Arabidopsis thaliana: one gene and its partner. The protein of the gene in region 1 purifies or fractionates together with the protein of each later gene. This does not show direct contact. Each region holds a gene or a part of one and is shown on either strand. Other genes may lie near its edges. The genes, in order: OEP80 and TIC110.

What was found.
Region 2: the proteins of OEP80 (region 1) and TIC110 purify together in Arabidopsis thaliana (affinity purification with western blotting; 2 studies listed by BioGRID, with this or other methods). This does not show direct contact.

Annotation. Positions count from the first base shown.
Region 1 is NC_003076.8:6,621,292-6,628,655, forward strand, and holds OEP80 (outer envelope protein of 80 kDa), read left to right. Parts: upstream 1-1,905; 5' UTR 1,906-2,031; coding exon 2,032-2,739; intron 2,740-2,832; coding exon 2,833-2,926; intron 2,927-3,300; coding exon 3,301-3,383; intron 3,384-3,491; coding exon 3,492-3,589; intron 3,590-3,730; coding exon 3,731-3,800; intron 3,801-4,077; coding exon 4,078-4,171; intron 4,172-4,351; coding exon 4,352-4,433; intron 4,434-4,519; coding exon 4,520-4,555; intron 4,556-4,658; coding exon 4,659-4,812; intron 4,813-4,886; coding exon 4,887-5,027; intron 5,028-5,203; coding exon 5,204-5,274; intron 5,275-5,395; coding exon 5,396-5,474; intron 5,475-5,550; coding exon 5,551-5,666; intron 5,667-5,783; coding exon 5,784-5,931; intron 5,932-6,014; coding exon 6,015-6,084; intron 6,085-6,195; coding exon 6,196-6,350; 3' UTR 6,351-6,603; downstream 6,604-7,364. Other genes in the region: GNL2 (GNOM-like 2), read right to left, coding at 1-181, 269-754; AT5G19630 (alpha/beta-Hydrolases superfamily protein), read right to left, coding at 6,856-7,178. UniProt on the Arabidopsis thaliana protein: Plays an essential role during early stages of plastid development.
Region 2 is NC_003070.9:2,129,524-2,137,793, reverse strand, and holds TIC110 (translocon at the inner envelope membrane of chloroplasts 110), read left to right. Parts: upstream 1-2,090; 5' UTR 2,091-2,230; coding exon 2,231-2,754; intron 2,755-2,837; coding exon 2,838-2,897; intron 2,898-2,982; coding exon 2,983-3,106; intron 3,107-3,212; coding exon 3,213-3,281; intron 3,282-3,375; coding exon 3,376-3,474; intron 3,475-3,603; coding exon 3,604-3,670; intron 3,671-3,988; coding exon 3,989-4,053; intron 4,054-4,130; coding exon 4,131-4,225; intron 4,226-4,655; coding exon 4,656-4,783; intron 4,784-4,856; coding exon 4,857-4,957; intron 4,958-5,098; coding exon 5,099-5,315; intron 5,316-5,621; coding exon 5,622-5,776; intron 5,777-5,930; coding exon 5,931-6,056; intron 6,057-6,162; coding exon 6,163-7,134; intron 7,135-7,242; coding exon 7,243-7,491; 3' UTR 7,492-7,741; downstream 7,742-8,270. Other genes in the region: AT1G06960 (RNA-binding (RRM/RBD/RNP motifs) family protein), read right to left, coding at 261-530, 648-727, 830-923, 1,207-1,379, 1,792-1,864; AT1G06930 (TPRXL), read right to left, coding at 8,122-8,270. UniProt on the Arabidopsis thaliana protein: Involved in protein precursor import into chloroplasts. Forms a voltage-dependent cation-selective channel at the inner envelope of chloroplasts, which specifically responds to a transit peptide.

The DNA of each region.
Region 1 (7,364 bases):
CCTCACCACCTTCGTCTCCTCTGACCTCAAAATCAGGTAATCTGGAGAAAATGATCTGAATCAGCTCATGCATTGTGTATCTTCCATTTCGTTGCAGCAAATCTCCTCTACCGGTAGATTGTTGCACTACTTGGAAACATGTATTGACTATTGTGCAAACCGCTTGATCTTCTAATAACTCCTGTTTTAATACATAACTTATTATTACTGTCTTAAAAGAGGACAAAATAAACATTTGTAGTAAAAAGATTATAGTTAATGAACGTACAGAGGATGGATGTTTCATGATTCCGGTTAAAACTTGAAGAATCCTCATCATTACAGCATCTTCAGACACCAAATCTGTTTTCTCCAAACGACAACTAGTAATCCCGGAGACAATAGAATTCATAGCATCTTTTGCACCAGGTGTTTTCTCATCGAAGATCTCGATTTTAAGGATCTTTAAGATGGAGGAAAGAGCGACAGCTGTGGCGCTAGCCGGAATCTCATCGCTTTGAATAACTTCGAGGAAAGGAGAAAGATAAACCGAAGGATCTATGGTGCGCCAATCTTGTTGAGGATTGAAAATAAGAGCTCTAAGAGATTTGAGAGATTGTTGGACTGATGAATCACAGTGGTCTGTTTCTTGGGGAGAAAGGTAACTTTCTGAAAGGGGTCTACGAATGACGGCAAGGACTGCACCAACCTCCGTGTTAAGCATGCATGATATCCCTAGCTCTTTCCGCTTTGCTCTTACGGCGATACGATCCATTTCTCACCTTATCACACTCTTCTTGCCGATAAAGAAGAAAAATCATTCAGCAACTGTTTTTTTTGTTGTTCTTCGTTTTTATTCTTTATGTGTACGGTGTTGCCTTGCCTTGGTTTGATCCTATATTTAGTATATAAGTTTTAGTGGCTGAGACTCAGTGATGGGTGAGTTTCAACCATTTGTCATCACACATCTAGGAAAACTCCATCATCAGCTACCGTCAATTTCTTTAAGGCTTAAGATAGAAAACTAATGTACGTTCTGCAAAAATTCAGATTTAAGGATACATTATTTGGATCAAACGTATGTGTTCAAGGTTTTTTTTTCTTCTTCTTTTAAAGTAGAAGCAAACTCTACGATGATTGGAGTGGAAACCATTTTTGTAGGATTAGGCCTCTTCATACTGATCTGAGTCAGACTTTGCATAGCTGAAGTTTTTTTCCTCTACTATTCAATTAACCAGTAGAGAAAAACTGACGCTTAAGAGGTTAATGGAGCTTAAATTTTACCAAATTCAGACCATAACTCTATTTATGTACTGGTCCTAGTGTTTCCAAGAGAATATATCTCTCAGCTTAAATTTTACTAAAATTCAGACCATAACTTATTTATGTACTGGTCCTAATAAGATGAATGTTTTAAGGGTTTATGGCTTGCTTAAGAAGAGCCAAAACTCTCTATAATTAACAAGTCTAAAATTGACAAAATTAATATAATTGGTTTTGTTACATGTTTGTGACCATAACTACTAAAAAAATTCACAGAAAAACTATTCAATAATCCTTGTTTGTTCATGTGTGTGATCTATTAATCAATAAAATCAAGAAAATGGATAGGAGAAATCAACTAACGTTTTTTTCTCAAAAATCTATTTATTTATTTTGATTAACATGTTTTGAACGTTAGTTAACTAATTTACCCTACAAAAAACTAATTTACCGTCAAATAAATGAGAAATCCCCTTAATGAGAAATTGATTATTTTCCAAAATATTTATTTGACGCAATTTTATTTTCATTTTTGAAAATCCAGTAATTTTACAAAACCTAATAATATACTCAAAGGAATGTTTACATAAAACATTCAAAAAAATAATTTGTTTTTTGTTTGTTCGTAAATGGGCTTTAACATCACCTCCTTTTCACTCTATCATCTTCTACTCCGAGTCTCCGAATCAAAAAAAACCCTAGCTCTTATTTTTTGTTCTTAGATTTTATCTCTTAAGCTCTTCTTCTTCCTTGACATTTCCTCAATTTCACTCCCGAGTACGATTAACAATGCATTGTCACAACGATGATGTTCGCTTCTCTTCATCTTCTATCAGAATCCATTCTCCATCTCCCAAAGAACAACACTCTTTACTCACCAATCTCCAATCCTGCTCTAAAACCTTCGTCTCTCACCTCTCAAATACTCGTAACTCACTAAACCAAATGCTCCAGTCGCTAAAGAATCGCCACACTCCTCCTCCACGTTCGGTTCGTCGTCCCAATTTACCGACTCAGATGCTCAATTCAGTAACCCAGCTTATGATTGGGAAGTCTTCTCCAATTTCATTGTCTCTTATCCAATCCACCCAATTCAATTGGTCTGAATCAAGAGATGAGAACGTTGAGACAATCCGTGGACTAAGCTCGCCTCTGCTCTGTTGTGCCTCTTTGTCTCTAACTAGACCTAACGAGTCGACTCAGTCAGTGGAAGGGAAGGATACAGTACAGCAGCAGAAGGGTCACTCGGTGAGTCGAAATGCGGAGGAACGAGTTCTGATTAGTGAGGTTTTAGTAAGAACGAAAGATGGTGAGGAACTTGAGAGGAAGGATTTGGAAATGGAGGCATTGGCTGCTTTGAAAGCTTGTAGAGCTAATTCAGCGTTGACTATTCGTGAGGTACAGGAGGATGTACATAGGATTATAGAAAGTGGGTACTTTTGCTCTTGTACTCCTGTTGCTGTTGATACACGAGACGGGATTCGGTTGATGTTTCAGGTAATATTTTGATTGTTACTCTTTTTGTTGGAGGAGAAAGGTCTCGTTTTTATGTTTCTGGGATGCAAATAATTCTCATTTTCTTGCCATAAGGTAGAACCAAACCAAGAATTTCGTGGGTTAGTCTGTGAAAATGCAAATGTTCTTCCTTCCAAGTTCATACATGAAGCTTTCCGAGATGGGTTTGGTACGTATCCTCCAATTTAGCTTGTTTTTTTTTCTTCTGTACTGTACTAGACTTATCTGTCAATTCATTGATTTACGTTGGGAGTAAAATGGATTAATGATATTGGAACCTGACAAATATTTCGAGTACTAATGATGAAGCTAAGAATTTTCTAACACATGGTGTAAAATGTGTTAGCCTTGAATGAAGAAGATAGATTAGAGGTAGGTAGTATTCTCAAAATGTATCCATGCTCCAAAACAGAGCATAATTTGAAGTTGCATTTAGTTTACACATATTAATGTATTGAGGCTAGTTAGGTGGATTCCTTCTGTTCGGTGTGTGTTTGATTGGAGAGGGTAATGGTTAGTAAATGTTGGTGTCAAGCTGTGTAGGGAAAGTGATTAATATTAAGAGACTGGAAGAAGCTATTACATCCATCAATGGATGGTACATGGAGCGTGGTCTTTTCGGAATTGTAAGTGCTCTTTTTACACCATAATTACTTTTTCAAAAAAAAAAATCATCCTGGATTCAGTCTTATACTTTGTGGTTAGAATCATCATTCTGTTGTCTGCCATTGTAGGTTTCAGATATTGATACGCTTTCTGGAGGTATAGTAAGGCTTCAGGTTGCTGAAGCAGAGGTTAACAACATATCCATCCGATTCCTTGATCGTAAGACGTAAGCTGGTGCCAATCCCTCCCTTATGAATGTAGTTTATATTGGTTTAAATTGTAGGCAATTCTGGATGGCACTGGTAGCTTCCTTTTATTTCAACTATTAGATTACGATTTCATTGATAATGGTGCCTTCTATATTTAGTGGGGAACCAACTAAAGGGAAGACTAGCCCTGAGACAATACTACGGCAACTTACAACAAAGAAGGGACAGGTATTTTTTGGGCATTTCTCAGCTTAGATGTAAAGATAAGTCGCTGACTAAAACATCATAAACTATCTGAGCTGTATTTTTATGCTAAATAACACTTCTGAGTGCATCATCTGTGTATGAAATCCTTTGGAGATCTTATTTTTAATTAAGGTTAATCACTCTTTATGGTATCATGTATGTTTCTTCGTAAAATTTGGCCTTAAAGTCTTTATGCATGAGCGTCTAAGTAGGGCCTCTACATACACATCTTGTCTAATCTGGCTTTTGGTCAATTTAGGTCTACAGCATGCTTCAAGGGAAGAGGGATGTAGACACTGTGCTAGCCATGGGAATCATGGAAGATGTTAGTATTATTCCTCAACCTGCAGGAGGTGTGTAAATATATTTCTTTCTTTTCAGCTAATACTTTTAATTTTCATCTTGTGCTTAAGGTGCAGTAGTATGAGTGAAGAAAGTATTTTCCTTGCTTATCCTTAGGCACAGTAACAAAAGGTTTTGACAGTGTCTGATTCTGAAACTTTCTTCTTTTCCTTGTTTTTTATTCCTGTTAGATAGTGGGAAGGTTGATTTGATCATGAACTGTGTCGAGCGTCCCAGTGGAGGCTTCTCTGCTGGTGGTGGGATATCTAGTGGGTAAGTTTTAGTTTGTTTGCTACTTACAGCGATTCAATTTTTTTCTTTTGTAGCTTGATGACAACTTTTGTCCAATTCTTTTGTAGGATCACAAGTGGCCCCCTATCAGGATTAATTGGAAGGTAAAAGTAATGTATATTTTATTTGTAATGATTTTTTTTTTATTTCTGGCCTAGGCTGTGTGTATTACATTACTGATGTAGTTGAAGTAATCATTTTATGCAGCTTCGCTTATTCCCACCGCAATCTGTTTGGAAGAAACCAGAAGCTTAATGTTTCCTTAGAGAGGGGTCAAATTGACTCTATATTTCGTATAAACTACACTGATCCATGGATTGAAGGAGATGACAAGAGGACGTCCAGATCTATTATGGTTCAGGTAACACCTTTACTGGTTATCTCAATGAGATTGCTGAGATGACTAATAAACTAATGAACTTCATCTTGAGTTAGAATTCAAGAACACCGGGGAATCTTGTTCACGGCAATCAACCAGACAATAGTAGTCTCACAATTGGTCGGGTTACAGCAGGTGTTGAATACAGTCGTCCATTCAGGCCAAAGTGGAATGGTACTGCTGGACTTATATTTCAGGTCTCTACTGTTCCCAATATTTTCTAAGTTTCTGTACCAATCCAGAGTAATATTGGTGTTAAAGCAATTAAAATATATGTTCTTGTCGTTTCTGACTAGATCCAAACTGGTAAATTTTTTACTTTTTGACCAATATATACGTTACCCTTAATTTCGTTTTGAATTTCATGTTTCAGCATGCTGGTGCTCGTGATGAACAAGGAAACCCTATCATTAAGGACTTCTACAGTAGCCCTCTAACTGCAAGGTATATATATGTCCCAATTCCCAAAGAATGATTTGTCTTTGGTTCTGCTCACTGTTTTCACCAATGCTGTATTTGGCCATATGAATTTGATAGATGCCATTATTAATGTTTTCTCATGCAGTGGTAAGCCCCATGATGAGACCATGCTAGCAAAACTTGAAAGCATTTATACTGGCTCAGGTGACCAAGGATCAACGATGGTCAGTCTGATACCTCTGTTGGTACATCTTCCCCTTCTTTTTTCAGTGCCTAATTCTATCTGTATTTTTATACCAGTTTGCGTTTAACATGGAACAAGGGCTTCCTGTTTTGCCCGAATGGTTATGTTTCAATCGAGTGACTGGACGTGCCAGGAAAGGCATACACATTGGACCAGCTCGTTTCCTTTTTAGGTATGCTAACTTCCTTTGAGGCATATAATTTTCTTGAGGTCTCTATTTACCTTTTGGGATTCGAATCATCATTTCTAAAGTTTTATATAGTGTATCTTACCTTGTTCATGTTTATAGTCTGTCTGGTGGACATGTGGTGGGAAAATTTTCACCTCATGAAGCATTCGTCATCGGTGGAACAAACAGCGTAAGAGGTTACGAAGAGGGCGCTGTAGGATCTGGTCGGTCATATGTAGTTGGTTCAGGGGAGCTGTCTTTCCCAGTGGTGGGTTTTTCTTTGAACATTCCTAAGATCTCATTTCACAATGGTGTAAAAATCATGACTCTCATTCTTACCCTATTGTGCAGAGAGGACCGGTCGAAGGCGTCATTTTTACAGATTATGGCACTGATATGGGATCAGGATCCACCGTCCCAGGTACAGACTAGGCTTTCGTTTTTTTTTTCTCCTTCTGAGCCTTTCCATATATGCTTGTAATAGCTTTAGAATCTCAGGGAACCTTCATCTTTGTTATTTTCTGCCCTTTAGGTGATCCTGCGGGGGCAAGACTGAAGCCCGGAAGCGGTTATGGATATGGTTTAGGGGTGCGTGTTGATTCCCCGTTGGGGCCGCTACGCCTTGAATATGCCTTCAACGATCAACATGCGGGAAGGTTTCACTTTGGGGTTGGTCTGCGGAACTAAATTTTCCTGTTTCTTTTTTAGATTCGATAAGTGTTTTGTCGGCCTTTGTCGCACATTCATCTAGATGATGCTTGTCTATTTTGATAATTTATATCATCTTATGTAACTCACTGTTTTGTGAGTGGTTTGTGCATGGAGAGAGATGTCGCGTATGAATGCTTTTCATGTAGATGATTTTCATTTTACCAAACTCCCAGTTAAAATTATTAATAGAACCAAGATTAGGATTTTTATTCTTCATCCTAGTATGAACCTGATTTGTCTCCTTAGGATGTCACATGATCGTGAGCAAACTCTTCTCGATGCAATTGCAAAGCTTGAAGAAATGTCCGATAGAGTGATAATAACTCAACATATGAAAACAAGTCTTTTAGTGCGTAGTGTACAGGGACATCAAACTCCTATCGTGCTAGTAAAGATTTATCCAAGTAATTTCCGGACATACACCAACGTAGTTCGACGAGGATGTAATAATCCCCTAAGGTCTATCTTTTCATGTGGTATTTTACAGGGATGAAATAAATTTACATATAATATCGGTCACCTGAGAATCATATTCAGGTCCTTCCATCTGGAAATGACTAACGCCTTCAATGAGGTGTGTTTCAGTGCGTCCGACTGCAGATTTCAGCTTCTTCTTTAGCTGGCTAACGCTAGTGAACCCGTCTTGTGTTCCCATTACGAAGAGTTTGGGTTTAGGGGATGAGAGAATGGCCTTGTGGTGTCGCCCAAAGAGAATCGAGGCCATTAGGCCAAATGGGTATCCCAAACTCACATATCCCACCACTTGCTCTACTTGCTCCACCGCTGATCCTGCGATTGGTGCACCTGCCAAAGAGTCAAAACTTCAATTATTTTTCCTTTAACCAATATAAAGAAGTTGGCATGAGATATCAAATTTGTCTCAGAATATTCATTTGAAAAGTAATGTGATCACTTCATCCATTAAACACGTCATATCAGAAAGTTAGTCGGTCACTATGATCAGTATAGGTAAGAGATGTGTTAGATGCT
Region 2 (8,270 bases), on another chromosome or scaffold:
CAGTAACCCCATAATCTTCTCATTTCTAAATTCGTGGTTTTAGTTCCCCCAAAGTCCTAATAATAATAAGGCATTTAAAATGAGATTTTCTCCAACCAAATCACTCTCAATTCTTCGATCTCATTACATTCTGGTCTAAAGCTTCGGGGTCATTCACACCACTAATCGGAAACGAACCAAATAAAATAAGACAGTTTGCTTTTAAACAGCTACTAATTAGTATATCATTACCATTCATCCGCATAACAAAACTCTGGTTTTCACTTCTTGGCAAAAGAGACGACCATTGGATTCTGCGGAGTGATCTTGAAACCCTGAAGAGCCTGCATGGCCATGGAAGACTGAACATCGTCTTCATACTCCACAAACGCAATTCCGGGTTTTGCTTCGATCATTCTTATCTCTTTGAATCCTGGGTATTGCTCAAAGAGCAGCTGAAGCATCATACTATTCGTCTCAATGGGAAGATTATGAATGAAGAGTATGTTGTTTGGTGGCATCGTGTCTTGCCCACTCGGCTGGAAAGGAGGCTGTGAAATTACAGAGACGGGTATTAGGAAACAAGGATTTACAGACTAAGTTGCGATAATGACGTCTGTCAGAAGATAATATTGTATTGTTGGAATGATGCGAGAAAGAGAAATTGCCACAGGCATTCCGTTCTGAGTAGTTGCGCCATTAGGCATGCTTGGTTGTTGAGTTTCTTCAGCATGTCGCTTCCTTTCAACTGAAAGTGATGTGCAGTTTTGTTAAACATCAGATGCGAAGTAAAACACAGATGAAATGAGCTGAAAAGATCTGAACTTGTGATGGAAACGAAAGTTTAAACCTTTCTCTTCTTGCTTCATCTTCTTTTCTTTTGGAACAAAAGACCCTTCGGCTTTAGTAACATAATCTGACTTTGATTTTGCATATTGTATCCGCTGCACCCACAGAGATCACACATCACGATTTGAATAATAATATTGCATTTAGCTTTTTCTAGTCTTTTACTTAGTAATCACTTGTGTAATGATATACCCTCAACATCTAATGTCGTTGTACTTCCTTCAATTTTATATAACAACAAGTATCAGCAAGCAAACTCAATTTTCCCTCCAAGTAAATCTCTGCAACTTTCTAAGCTTATAGTCTCACATAACAAGATAAAATCATTTTTCGGTAGCGGGATAGATAAACCTGGAACATAAGAGAGGAAAAAGGTACCATAGGCTTATCATAGAAAGGAAAGTTCTGCATCTGACGGACAGCGTTGCTAGCAGCGGTGACTTCAGTAAAAACAACCCATGCTTGTCCCCGGAGCTTAGGAGTCTTTAACGCAACCACATCAAGTAATCTTCCAAACTGAGAGAACAAACAGTAAAGAGACCTCTTCAGCTCTGAAAAAAACAAGTGGAAACATTAAACAATGATCTGCTTGAACAGCATTACTCTTAGACAAACAAAAGCAGCAGCTAAAGAACTTAAGGTCATTGACTTCAATCAAACAATCTAAACAAATTTCATGGCAAAAGCAATCGCCTTTCCTACTTAATTACTTAAATAAAGCACCTTTGTTAGAGTATCTCTAGTTCAGGTCTATTAAGATTAGACAGAAATTCTAAATCCCTAATACTTAGAAAGATAACTCTAAATGCATCTAATCTAACCTTCGTAAACATCAAATTAAGCAACTTTAAACTCAGACAACTCATTCAAGAGAAGCTCACACAAGCATTACCAAGCTACTTAAGCATTGCAAAAACTCTTAGAAAATCACCGATGCAATTATATGAATTTCGTAAGCATTACCTTCTTTCTTGATCTTCTCATTGATATGTTTTATGTAGATTGACTGATTTGGTGGTATATCAGCCGTTAACATCTTTCAACTGAGCTCCGCGAAGACGACGATGGTCGATGGTCACAGCCCTGAGAAAATTTAGCGAGCCCTAAGAGCCAAGAAGAGAGAAGAAATCGTGGCGTTTCCAATTTACACAAGGCGTCTAATTTGTTTTTTTATGTAAACATCTTACCGTTACCGAAGAGTAAAACAACACGTAGTTTTATAATATTATTAAAAAACGTCTGGACGTTCGAAAGGGGATTTTGATGTTTTGTTAGGCCCTATCTCTTTCCCCTTTTCTTCGTTCGCATCTCTATCTTCTTCCGTTGTCTACTGTTTTTCGTTAAACCCTACGATTCTTCTTTTTTTCAACGACTGCTCGGATCTTTCTCAGTAGAGGGAACCATGAATCCCTCACTCGTCACCGCCATTAACGCTCCAATTTCACCTTCTCCTCGGTCTCCTCTTCTTTCTCACTTCCTACCTACTTTACCTCACCGTTTCTCCAAGTCTGAGTGTCTATCTCGCCGTCGTTATCGAGTTTCGTTCCCTCGTAGCTCAGCTGCTTCCTCCGACCAACTATCAGTATCTACGCAGGCGAAGAATCCCGGTATCCATGGGAATAAGAAGGAGCTCACTGGATTGCAACCGATTGTTGAGAAAATGACACCGCCGGTGAGGCTAGCGACTTCAGCTGTTGTATTAGCGGCGTCTTTAGCTACTGGTTACGGCCTTGGGCTCCGTTTAGCCGGCTCCAGGAATATTGCCTTTGGTGGGGCTGCTGTTGCTGGAGCCGCCGGTGGAGCTGTCGTATATGCGTTGAACTCTGCTGTACCGGAGGTAGCTGCTATCAGTTTGCATAATTATGTTGCCGAATTCGAAGATCCTGCCTCTGTGACGAAAGATGATGTAGAAAAGATCGCTGATAGGTGAGTGCTTCATTTAATTGTCAATTTGTGTCTGGGATTTATAAACAAAAGTTTGCTTAAACGATCCTTCTTATATGTTGCAGGTACGGTGTCAACAAAGGAGACGAAGCATTCCAGGCTGAGATTTGTGATATTTATTGCCGGTGAGTCAACAAAGGATACTGTGTTCATCTTTTCTCTTAGTGTGGGGAATTCATTAGTAATCTTTGCATCTTAATCTTGATTTAGGTATGTAACTTCCGTGCTTCCAACTGAAGGACAGTCTCTTAAAGGGGATGAAGTGGCGAAGATAGTCAAGTTCAAAAATGCTTTAGGGATAGACGAACCTGATGCAGCTGCCATGCACATGGAGGTGCTTTCTAGATTCTTAATCTTCATTTGAATTAGCCGTTAGCCTTTTTGTAGTTGATGCAGAAGGATCTTGATTGCTGAATCACCAATTCCTTGGTTTTGTTTAGATTGGTCGCAGGATTTTTAGGCAAAGGCTTGAGACTGGGGAGCGTGAAGGTGATGCAGAACAGCGTCGGGTGAGTCGCCAGTCCCTAGTATTTGTTAAGTTTATTGTAGGATTGTTCGAAAGAGAGCACAAGCGTGATCACAAGTTGTATGCTTCCAGTGCAGGCATTTATGAGGCTTGTATATGTTTCAGCTCTTGTGTTTGGAGATGCTTCATCCTTCCTTCTACCTTGGAAGCGAGTATTGAAGGTCACAGATGCTCAGGTAGGCATTTCCAATTTTTTTCATACTTCTGATTTTGCGCAATAGTTGTTTTATGGAAGTTTCATTTTGGCAACTCACTCCTTCTTGGTAATCTGAAGTTCTGTGCTAATGTCTTGACCTCATTTCTAGGTTGAGATTGCTATTCGTGAAAATGCAAAGCAGCTGTATGCCGAACGGTTAAAATTAGTTGGTAGAGGTAATGTTGTTCATGTTTTACATTTTGAGATGGGAAGTAATGTTACATTTGTAGAACGGGTTTGAGTTTGCTTGACTTGGTTATATTGATTATTGTGGCACTTCTTTGTCCATTGGGTTTTGTAATATTCGTTTATCAGCAAGTTGTCTGAATACCAACCTTAATTGTTACTTCGCATGCGACTGTAATGGTCCCTTCTCATTTAACATTGATAATAGATATGGCTTTTTGACAACCAAAAAAAGATATGACTTAGCTTTTTCGTCAGCTTAATGCATGGAAACTTACATGGTTATGTTTCTAAACATGTTCTTGCAGATATTAACGTAGAAAACCTTGTGGACCTTAGAAAATCACAACTATCATTCAAGCTCTCTGATGAGGTACTCTATTTCTTTGTGGCATTGACTTCCTGCTATCTCTGGTTGTACTTCTTCTGACAGTTTCTTCTCCCTCATAGCTTGCTGAAGACCTGTTTAGAGAGCATACGAGAAAAGTAGTCGTAGAGAACATTTCATCGGCACTCAGCATACTCAAATCCCGCACACGAGCAGCGTAAATCATTTTAACATATTGCTTACAGAATCATGCATAGAAAAATCGTATAGAATAATCATTATCCATGTGAACAGTTTGGTTACACATTTAACTTTTTTATTTCTTATACCAATGAGTTATGACTTTAGCTGGGTATATGTATTCCTTTGCTTGAACATTGAGTTTGGTCGGGTTGAAAAAAGAGATTGAAGTTTTGGCTTTAGTTTTGAGTTTTGGTTATTGCAAAAACTGATTGGTCATATGATCTCTTTTGCTTTTGTGAATTGTCTTATAGTATAAGTATTTAAAAAAAAGTCATGAGATTTTAATTTTATAGGCGTTTTTGTATCTTGTGATAATTAATAGTGGAAACAAATTGGATCATCTAGTATGTCTAGTTTATAGTAGTTTACAATGCATGTCATTTTAACGACCTGATTTTTTCCAGGAAGAGTTTGGCATCTGTCGTGGAAGAGCTTGAAAAAGTACTGGAGTTTAACAACCTGCTAGTTTCCTTGAAAAGTCATTCAGAGGCAGATCAATTTGCACGCGGGGTTGGCCCTATTTCTTTGATAGGTGAAGATGCTTTTGACCTTCTCTTTTCTGAAGAAAAATTATTGGCTCTCAACCTTGGATCTATGTGGCTTAGGTGATGAGTCTGATTTTGAGAGGAGAATGGATGATTTAAAGCTCCTTTATAGAGCATATGTTACAGATGCTTTATCTGGTGGGCGCTTAGAAGAAAATAAGGTATACTCAGTTTTGTATAAGATATTATGTACTAAAGCTTAGTTGCAAGTTTTTTTGAGAGTAAGTGTTTTCAGATGCTGTGTCCTCTATCCCAGTCGCATGTTTTTTTCCATTTCTAATTGTCTTTCTACTGTATGGTAGCTCGTGGCAATGAGCCAACTTAGAAACATACTCGGTCTGGGAAAACGAGAGGCTGAAGCTATTAGTGTTGATGTTACGTCCAAGTCTTACCGTAAAAGACTTGCTAACGCTGTTTCTAGTGGTGACCTTGAAGCACAAGACAGTAAAGCAAAATACCTTCAAAAGCTCTGCGAAGAGCTGCACTTTGATGCACAGAAGGCAGGCGCAATCCATGAAGGTATAAGCCGAACCTTCTGTTCACAATGAAATCTTATGTTTTTATGTTATGCATGAGGTATACAGTTGGAATTGCCACATAATCGCCCAAATGTAAGATGTGTCCATGGGTATCAATTTAGTTGATGGCTTGTAAACTTGCGGGTTCCTTATCCTTTTAAGCTAGCTTTTAGTGTTGTAGATTTGGTTCTTAACAGACTTCTAACAAGTCTGGTGTTTCAGTGGGTTACATGCTGTTATTTTACAGTTTGAGTATCTATTTGGTCTTTTTTTCCCAATCATCTGACAAGCACCTTCTCTTCCTCAGAAATCTATCGGCAGAAGCTTCAACAGTGTGTTACTGATGGAGAGCTGAGCGATGACAATGTTGCTGCTTTATTAAGGTTAAGAGTTATGTTGTGTATTCCCCAGCAAACTGTTGATACAGCTCATGCAGAAATCTGTGGAACCATATTTGAAAAGGTAATCCAGTTATCACCTCCCTTTTCCCTTTATCAAGGGTTTTTTCATGGTCTTGGGTCTTGGCACTGCAATTTCCCTCTGCTTCCCTCTCTGCCTTCGCATTTTGTTACCAAAAGGTTTTACCTCTAATTACCTTTTTGTTTAATCTTTCCAGGTTGTCAGGGATGCCATTTCTTCTGGAGTGGATGGTTATGATGCTGAAACTCGCAAATCAGTTAGAAAGGCTGCACATGGTCTTCGGTTATCCAGAGAGACTGCCATGTCTATTGCTAGCAAAGCTGTGAGTATCACACTATTTACTTTCTCCATGCTTGGTATTAGGATTTGTTAAAATTTTCTGACTTCTCATAGCAAGACATGAAAATCAAATCCCTTCATTGATGCAGGTCCGTAGGGTTTTCACAAACTATATCAGACGAGCAAGAGCAGCCGAGAACCGTACTGATTCAGCAAAGGAGCTCAAGAAGATGATTGCTTTCAACACGTTGGTTGTGACTGAAATGGTGGCTGATATCAAGGGAGAATCTTCTGATAAGGCACCTGAGGAGGACCCTGTTCAAGAGAAAGAAGAAGATGATGAAGATGAAGAATGGGGATCCCTTGAATCGCTCAGAAAGACAAGACCCGACAAGGAACTCGCTGAGAAAATGGGAAAGCCTGGCCAGACTGAGATAACTCTCAAAGATGACCTTCCCGACAGGGACAGAATAGATCTCTACAAAACATACTTGCTCTACTGTGTAACTGGAGAGGTAACAAGAATCCCTTTTGGCGCCCAGATCACAACAAAGAGAGACGATTCAGAGTACTTGCTTCTAAATCAGCTTGGTGGGATTCTCGGATTGAGTTCGAAAGAAATAGTCAACATTCACGTAGGTTTAGCCGAGCAGGCTTTTAGGCAACAAGCTGAAGTGATTTTAGCTGATGGGCAATTGACAAAGGCTAGAGTAGAGCAGCTAGACGAGTTGCAAAAACAAGTTGGTTTGCCTCAGCCACAAGCCGAGAAGGTTATCAAGAATATAACCACCACAAAAATGGCAAACGCGATAGAGACCGCTGTTAACCAAGGAAGACTGAACATAAAGCAGATACGGGAGCTCAAGGAGGCAAATGTCAGCCTGGACAGCATGATCGCTGTGAGTCTGAGAGAGAAATTATTCAAGAAGACAGTGAGTGACATCTTCTCATCAGGAACTGGTGAATTCGATGAAACCGAAGTCTACCAGACAATCCCATCCGATCTCAGTATTGATGTGGAAAAAGCCAAAAGAGTTGTCCATGATCTCGCTCAGAGTAGATTATCGAATTCGCTGGTCCAAGCCGTGGCATTACTCAGGCAGAGAAACTCTAAAGGAGTGGTATGCAAATCATCTTTTCCCTCTCTTATCGTGACAGAAAACATGGATATTTCAGCTTCTGGGTCTAAATTGTGTATGTATGTATGCTTTTTTTTTTTGGTTTTACAGGTCTTGTCGCTGAATGATTTGCTTGCATGTGACAAAGCTGTGCCGGCTGAGCCAATGTCATGGGAGGTCTCAGAGGAATTATCTGATCTATATGCTATTTATTCAAAGAGTGATCCCAAACCCGCACCGGAAAAAGTTTTGAGGCTACAATATCTGCTGGGAATAGATGATTCAACTGCAACTGCCCTCCGTGAAATGGAAGATGGAGCATTATCTTCTGCTGCAGAAGAGGGCAATTTCGTCTTTTAAATCTTTGGAGAAATCACTTGAGTTATTATGTATTGTGTTACGGCCGAGGGTGGAAAAATGATTTTGAATTTGAAATTTGACCAAAGTCTGTGAAAATTTTGTATCAGAACCATAAACTTGATATGATTAATTTGAAAATCTGCAAACGAGAAGTGTATCCCTTATACAATTTAGAGCGCAGCTTTGAAGTGCTCATGTGGTGTCACGTGACGGGTGTTCCCGCATAACGAACCTAAAAAATAGAATAACAGTTAATTCAATCATTGAGAACTTTTTTTTTAATGAAATGATTTGACCGTAACACCGTAAGTGAAAGTTAATTGTTAATTCTATGGTGGTCTCACATGACTGCACACAACTAGAACAATACTCAACAATCAACATGTATACTAGATCTGATCTCGTTATAGTATGTTTTTGTCGAAATTTCTAATTATACAAAAGCACGTCTTTTAAAGACAAAAATAGAAGCCATATGATCCAATCAATTGATTCATAGAGATGATGATATGAATCGATGAAACATAGTTTTTAGAAATTATTTCCAAGATTACAAAAAAAGAAAAAAAAGAAGTGAAAATTAATAAGAAAATAGGAGAGAGTTAAATATAAGAAAAAAGGCAGAATCATTTAACATGATCTGAGCAACACCTTGACAAGGGAAGCGTAACATCCAGAAGATTTAGCACTATTCGATCCGTAGTCTAAACTCGAACCAGATTCAAACCACATTGATCTTCTTCTGTTGCTTAAATCAGATGTCCTCAATGGAGAAGATG